Linked DNA regions of Coturnix japonica. Each later gene encodes a partner of the first gene's protein in a complex. Links are inferred from orthologs where the notes say so. Each region holds a gene or a part of one and is shown on either strand. Other genes may lie near its edges.

Region 1 (3,647 bases):
GGCAGGAGCTGATTTCCAGAAAGTTTTTTTCTTCTTCCCTCAGTCTTGTTTGCAGATTTCCCATTTCCAGCAAAACTCCCCTGACGTGAAGCGGCATGGGGCAATCAGAGAGCACCAGATGCATCATCTTGCTTTCCTCAAATGCCAGGGCAGGTCATCCCTGCTGTACAAAATACCAGTTTATCAGCAGATTCAAATCAACCCAGAAACACTGCCAAAGAAACATCCATCTCTTCGGTGTATGGGAAAAATAAGGCTCAAGTGCATCTATTAAAAAAATAGTAATAGACCTCTTGATTTGTAGTCTGTTAACTATCCCAGTAGAAGAAACTGTAGAAAAAGGCAATGTGGAGCTGTGTCCCTGCAGGGTAAGGACTGCAAACATCCTTAGCAGCTTGTTCTTAAATGGGGATGCGGATGATCCTGCTGGCACTGATCCTGTACACTGAGGCATTAAAAGCACAACTTCTGTTCCTTTCCCATCAATGGAGAGATTAAAGGAAGGGGAGCACAATCCTAAAAAACAGGCAGTCTTGTGGATGTTAATGTGCAAGAATTTATGTCCTCTGTATGGGATGCGCGGTGCAGAGATGGTTCGGAAGCACTCCGGTTGATTTTGGGTAAAGAATGTTGCAGCAGTTCAATGGAAGACAGTATCTGAGTGAAAGACATAAAATGAGAAGATGACATGTTAGAAAGAGCCATTTCTTTTCACCTAAGTCTTCAACATTCATTTCTTAGGGCTTTACCAGTATCCATAAGGGAGCAATGTACTACGTGGAGACTGAAAACAATAGGATTGTCCCAGTTTGAAGAATCCAACTCTGCCACAGAGTTTCATTGCTGGGAGGACATTCACTGGGCTTCAGGGGATAGACAAGTACTTCTCAGTTAAGAGTTCATCAATAAGGCAATCAAGAAGCAAGCATCTATGTACTCTGCAACAGCGCAGCAGGGAAAGAATGGCATCTTCCTCCTAATGGTCTCTTTAGAACCAAATTTAGAAAGAAGCCATCAAATAACAGCAGTTGTACTTAAATGTAACAGTAACATCTTAAAAAGTGCTGCAATTCAATTCCAGGTATTTTAACAGAAAAGGTCAAGTATCCTTTGTGGGGAAAAAAAATAGATAAAAATTTGCTACAAGAATTTAAATCCCCTCCCTGAATTTTGCTTGCTTGTACAAAGTTGTGGAAAAAAATAAGGAATGGTCTTGACAGCAAAGTGCTCTGAGAGCAGCGTGGTGTCCAACAATGCTTCAGTCAGGATGGATGTTATTTTAAAGTACTTTGAACCTGAATCCTCTATATCAGCATTAGGATCCGCTCAAGGGAGCTGGGTTATTAAAGGTGGACTTATGACCAAACAACACCAGGAAGCATGCTACACTTAATTCCTGCATCTACTCCCAGTTTCTAGACCTGTGTCCACTTAAGGTGTTCTGTGTGGTAATGGCTATTTATCAAATACTTACATGATGAAAAAAGCCACTTACTTGTGGAAACAAGGGTCTTTCTTCCCTAACTTTCTTCAAACAATCTGCTACGAGCCTCTTCATTGCTTTGGGGCAGTTCTTGTACAACTTGCTGAGATCTGGGGAAGCATATCCTCGGCCAACCATGAAAATAATCTAAAGAAGAACAGCCAGTAAGTAGCAGAGAACTCAAACCACAGGAGCTGTGTCACTCATTCAAAGCTCTGATGTCCCAAAGTCACTAAACATCAGTGAGTGCCAAAGCCCAGCACAGCAGCAGAGCCTTGTGCATTTGTCCAGATCAGTTAACGGAAACAACTGCCTTGCTTTTGTGTAACGTAGAACCTAATTAAATCAGAGCGACACAGTGGTTTATAATACTCCCAAGATGCAAACATTACTATAGTCTGAAAAGAACAGTTTTAAGTTCATGCTCTACAGAAGAAAGCTTTAAATAATGAATTAACTCTGCCCTAACATTTAATACTGCAACATGCAGCATGAAGTGGCTGTTTCTTACCTGGTCGCGGTTGTTTATGTGGGAGTAGGGCAGCTCTCCTGTCATGAGCTCATACAGTACGATTCCATAGGAGTAGACATCTGACTGAAAACTGAACGGATTACTGTCCTGCATCCGTATCACCTCTGGTGCCTTTACAAGGAGAAAAGCAATAAGCGAAAAGTGGTATTAACAAGCTAGGAAACAGAAAAGCAAACAGGAAAATGGAAAGCCAAGAGGAGTCAATCATTACTTAACAAAGGATGGGAACCTCAGGTTCCATCAGTGCTTTTCTACATCTTTCTTACTAAATGAGCAAGTGCACATACAGCGTATATGTAGATAGACATACAATAGCACTTCCAAAGAACCCTCAGAAACTTTCCTGTATGACTTGAGAACTTCCATAAAATGGAATATAAATGCAACATAAAATGACATCAATCTGCAGCAGTTCTGAGCTGCCTCAAAGCTTGCCAGATCAGCAAGCCTGCATGAAGAGATGCTGCCAGATCCTGAGCAGGGAGCAGAGGAGGAAGAGACAATGATGAAGACAGCCAGTGAAGACAGGGCTCACTCATCCCACAAAGCCTGTTGAGCAGATTCAAGGCAGCTGCTTCCCTTCCAGCTGAGAAGAGCCCTTCTGGGGAAAGGTGGGATGGCTACAGGAGAAAGGCTCTGCCCTTGGAACAGTTCCTTGCAGTTCTTCTGACAGCTCTTGTCAGCCTTTGCCATGTATGTTAGAACTCAAAAACTCAGGAGGAAACACTGCAGAACAGTGTCTACTTTGGGGCAGTTAAGTGCTCCATTCTTCAATTTTAACTTATCCTATAATTGGACTAAATGTCTGCATAGTGCTAACAACGTAGGTTGTCATTTAGATGTAAAGATCTGTTAATAATACTGAATTCAACCAACAAAACATGTATTAACTGAGTGAAAGCAAACTGTTTACACTGCAGTAAAATACTCTGCTCACCATCCACAAAATGGAACCAGTGGGTTGCTCCACCTGCTGCGATCCACTCCACCTGGATTTTACAGTTGCTAGACCAAAGTCTCCTATTTTCACTGTGAGGCCTTCATGAAGAAATATATCTAAAGGATTGTTAAGGAAATTCTATAGAGAATTTAAATGAACACATCTGAATTTTCTGACATGATTACAAAGTGACCAGTTAGGGTTATCAGGAATCCAAGTCAGCCATCCAGTATTGCTGGATACAACTTGGGATACAAGTTGTATCTCAGAGAAGTAATTTCATGGCATCCATACGTACAGAGCTCACAAAATGTAGGTATACAGTCTGTCTGCTTAATACTCTATGTTCCTTCTCAGGTTTAAATTAACATTTATGGCTTTATTTATGCCAGTCATCTCAGGATGTTTTATATTTATTAAAATCATAAGGGATACAGCATCGGACACATATGCACACATATCCCTCATCGAACAGAAAGCTTTTCTCCAATACACTACTTGGATAATAGAGACATTATAACATCACTACTAACACTATTCTAATTCACTAAGTCACATTTGGAAAATGACTGCAGCTTCTCTTATTGTCATCTTCATAACATCAGGTTGGTAGGTAAGCATATGCCTTTTTACGAAAGACCTTGTTAAAAGTAACTTCATATTCATCAAAAGAAATTACTTATTTTTGTTAC
Region 2 (3,688 bases), on another chromosome or scaffold:
AAGCAAAACTGAGCTGCTCCAACCCCGTGCACAGTGCAGTGTTGAAGCACTGTTTACTTTTGATTACAGCAGAGGACCGGAGTGGGACTTTGAGCCGTGCTGCTGATCGCATGGAGATCACAGAATCATACGGAATGACCCGGGTTGGAAGGGACCTCAAGGATCATGTAGTTCCAACCCCCCTGCCCAGCAGGGCCACCAAACATACACCTTTACTAGATCATGTTGCCCATGGCCCCGTCCATCCTGGCCTTGAACACCTCCAAGGACGGGGCATCCACAACCTCCCTGGGCAGCCTGTTCCAGGGCCTAACCACTCTCCTAGTGAAGAACTTCCCCCTAACATCCAACCTAAATCTTCCCTCTTTTAACTTAAAACCATTTCCCCATGTCCTGCTATTGTCAGCCCTTTCCAAGAGTTTAAGGGAAGAGTAAGTTCCCTTCAGGTATTGAAAGGCTGCAATGAGGTCACCCCGCAACCTTCTCTTCTCCAGGCTGAACAAACCCAACTCCCTCAGCCTGTCCTCATAGGGGAGGTGCTCCAGCCCCCTGATCATCTTCCTGTCCCTCCTCTGGACCCTTAACAAAATCTCCATGTCTTTCTTGTACTGAAGGCTCCACACCTGGACACAGTACAACAGATGGCGCCTCACAAGAGCTGCGTGGGATTATGACATAGAATAGCAGAATTCTTTGGGCCCTGCCCAGCACCGAGGGACACACAGAGCTCAGGGCCGCATCCTGCCTGTCTGATCCACCGCTCACATCCCACCCAGCGCTACTAATGTGGCCCCGATAGTGCAACGTTCGTGGTTGTTATCAGCCCCTACGGGACGTTCCACCTCCCTGAACTCCTCCGGGCCGCCCCTCTGGTCCCCGCCCGCCCCTCTTGGCCCCTCCCCGGGCCGCGGCCGGCGCTGAGGGCGGAGCGGAGCGGAACGGCGCCGCGTACAGCGGCCGAACGCCGAGCGGAGCGGAGGGTGAGCGGGGGAAGGGAGAGAGCGGAGTGGGGTCGGGAGGTGGGCGGCTCCGGGTGTTCAGCTGCACCGGGACGGCGGTGGGGACGGGGACCGGGGTTGGAACGGAGCGAGTTGGGAGCCCGGGCCGCGGGGAGGGCCGAGGCCGAGGCGGTGTCAACAGCGGCGCTTCCCGGCCCGGCCGTCAGCGCTTCCTGCCCGCTCCGCAGCCGGGTTGTGCCGGGGGGAATTCCTGCCTCGCTGTTCCTGTTCCGAACCGAGCTCCAAGGGCCCCTCTACGGCTTTATAACAGCGTTCTATCAGCTGTTGTTTCATCTGCAAGCGTTTGTCATCGTGTCTGTTGGTTCTGTACTTGGTTGGACCTGATTGGGTTCGCTCTGTGCCGCTCTAATGCCCCCCCCTGTGTTAGTGGGGTGCTGGAAGTAGGGATGTGTTTCATTTTGGGGTTACTGAGGCCATAAGTGTGAATGGAGGCACAGCATTGAGTCCATGGAGCTGTCAGCGTTGGGGCAGTTCTTGTAACTCACATCAGTGACGTTGGCTGCTGTGTCCGAATGGTGCTCTGACATCACACCATATTGCTATGGCCGCTTCCCTACGCCAGAGTGCTCACATCGTGCTGCTATGGGAAAGATTAATGTTAAAACATGCAAATATTGAAGGGTCCATTCATCCAAAGAAACACCTTTTGATGCCCAAAGGCCCAGCTGTGTGTTCCCATGGAGGTGATGATGCTGGTATAGGGATGGCACTCCCTGACATCAATAGGTTCTGTATGTGGAGTGTTCACCCCATTAACCCTCGTGTTCCATGGCCCCAGGGACGAGCTGAGCCCTGGGAAGGCCGCAGGGTAAGGAGCTTTGTGAAGATTTTGAGCTTTGCCAACCAGGGACTGAACTGCTCCGTGTCGTGCTCTGACACACTAATGCTTTTATTTGGAGTTTCCAAACCAGCTTTTAACCGGGATGGTTTGTATTTGAAACCATAAACTGAGCTTCGTTTTGTGTCCATCCCATCTGCACTTAGTCTGAGCGTGGCTGCATGGCAGTTCTGCATGATCAGCTCGGATGGAGGCATGAGTTTAAAACTGGGTCAGGTTTGGGTTGTGTTTCAGCCCTGATCAGGTTTTGGGGTTTTTTTTTGTCTCCTTTATTTTGAATGGTGAAAACGTTGGTGGCTGTGGGCTCAGAGCAGCCGGGATCACTGTGTGCTGAGCTCTGCAGCACTTATTGATTCCCCTCTTGCACAGATTAAAGGCTGCCGTGTTTGCTCTGTAGCAGCATTAACGATTCAGCTGTGATTGTGTGTGTGCGTTCACAATGTCAGTAAGTTACTCTCAGCTCACTGTTATTCTCTTCTTCTTTCTTTAGTGGAAACGTTTCTTGTTTTTATGGGACCAGGGGTTGTTTAGCAGGGCTGTAATGAAAGCAACTTCTTACAAACGTCATCAAGTTCAGTCTCTTTTGCTTCATGAAAACAGGAAGGAACTTGGAAGGTTGGATTCATTTCAGTGCGTGCAAGTGATAAATGTAATTGCTTAGTCCAATAGGAGAGAGACCTTTTCTATGAGTCAGGAGCCTGGTCGGTACCATCTGTGTCTCCATCACTCAATGGGGAAAGAAAGTCCCCATCTATTAAATGAAGAGCTGCAGAAGGAAAGCCTTGGCCGTGCTTCCTAAAGGCCACAGTGCAATGCAGATGATGCTCAGAGCAGCACAGCAGGCAGTGCACCTGATTGCAGGTGAGACCGAAAGCATCAGTGTTATCTCTGCCTGCACTGCAATAGCCACAGTGCTCCACCACAACACTGTGCTGCTTCTCAATGCAGAGCAGCAGAATTGCCCAATGAGGCTGTGGATGCCCCATCCTTAGAGGCTTTCAAGGCTGGATGTGGCTCTGGGCAGCCTGGTTGGTGACCCTGCACATAGCAGGGGGTTGGAACTGGATGAACACTGTGGGCCTTTTCAACCCAGGCCATTCTATGATCCTATGAGAGATGAGTGTGGATAGGAGTGCAGGCGGCGTTTTGATCTCTGCTCTGCTGCAGGCAGCCCAGCAGGTCCTGGGTGTTAGGAAATACCGGCTGTACCTGAACAGGCACTGCCTCGCAGCTGTGGTGGCCTCACCTGAGCCTGGCTGAGGGTGCAAGTGGAACTCTTTGGATTGAGAAACGCCAACCAAAGCAGAGCTCGGTGTGTTTTGCTGTTTGTTTGTTTGCCTCTGATGAGCAAAGCCCTTTGTATGGGGGGAGCTCTGAGCCTGCGTGGGGTTGGTGATGTTACTGGGCACGCTTAGGGGCTGCTGGTGGGGCCTGGCTTTCCTCCCCCCTTTCCTTTTGTTTAGCTGAAAATATGGGCGCCAGGCAGTGGCTGTGTGCTGGGCAGGTGCTCTGAGTCACCACTAGCTGTTATTTATTTTCAATATTGATAAGATGGAAAAGGGTTTAAGTCCATCTAGGCAATGAAATGAGAGGTCTGAGTGCATCTGCAGCCGTAGCTATATTGTGGCTGAAGCAGATTTGAGGCTCTCTTGGAGTGTTTGGACCGATGGCTTCAATCCCAGGGGTGAGGGGAACCGAACATCACCCCAAACACATCCATTGGAAATAGACCCTTAACGTGGAGCATTCCAGGCATGTGGGAAGAGCAGTCGGGCTGGATGTATTGGTTGCACTGCCTTTTTATGTTGCTTTTCATGTCATATCCTTTCCT

The links. The genes of interacting proteins can lie anywhere in the genome.
Region 2: the proteins of RAF1 (region 1) and RAP1A are in contact, whole or in part, in a crystal structure (PDB 3KUC), measured with the Homo sapiens proteins. The link is inferred for Coturnix japonica from reciprocal best matches to the Homo sapiens genes RAF1 and RAP1A. Residues at the interface, in NP_001341619.1 of Homo sapiens: Thr57, Arg59, Asn64, Lys65, Gln66, Arg67, Thr68, Val69, Val70, Lys84, Lys87, Val88, Arg89, Gly90; in NP_001010935.1 of Homo sapiens: Val21, Gln25, Ile27, Val29, Asp33, Pro34, Ile36, Glu37, Asp38, Ser39, Tyr40, Arg41.

Annotation. Positions count from the first base shown.
Region 1 is NC_029527.1:3,320,121-3,323,767, forward strand, and holds part of RAF1 (RAF proto-oncogene serine/threonine-protein kinase), read right to left. Parts: intron 3,072-3,647; coding exon 2,953-3,071; intron 2,127-2,952; coding exon 1,995-2,126; intron 1,631-1,994; coding exon 1,496-1,630; intron 658-1,495; coding exon 517-657; 3' UTR 1-516. UniProt on the Homo sapiens protein: Serine/threonine-protein kinase that acts as a regulatory link between the membrane-associated Ras GTPases and the MAPK/ERK cascade, and this critical regulatory link functions as a switch determining cell fate decisions including proliferation, differentiation, apoptosis, survival and oncogenic transformation.
Region 2 is NC_029541.1:3,373,796-3,377,483, forward strand, and holds the start of RAP1A (ras-related protein Rap-1A), read left to right. Parts: upstream 1-859; 5' UTR 860-980; intron 981-3,688. UniProt on the Homo sapiens protein: Counteracts the mitogenic function of Ras, at least partly because it can interact with Ras GAPs and RAF in a competitive manner. Together with ITGB1BP1, regulates KRIT1 localization to microtubules and membranes.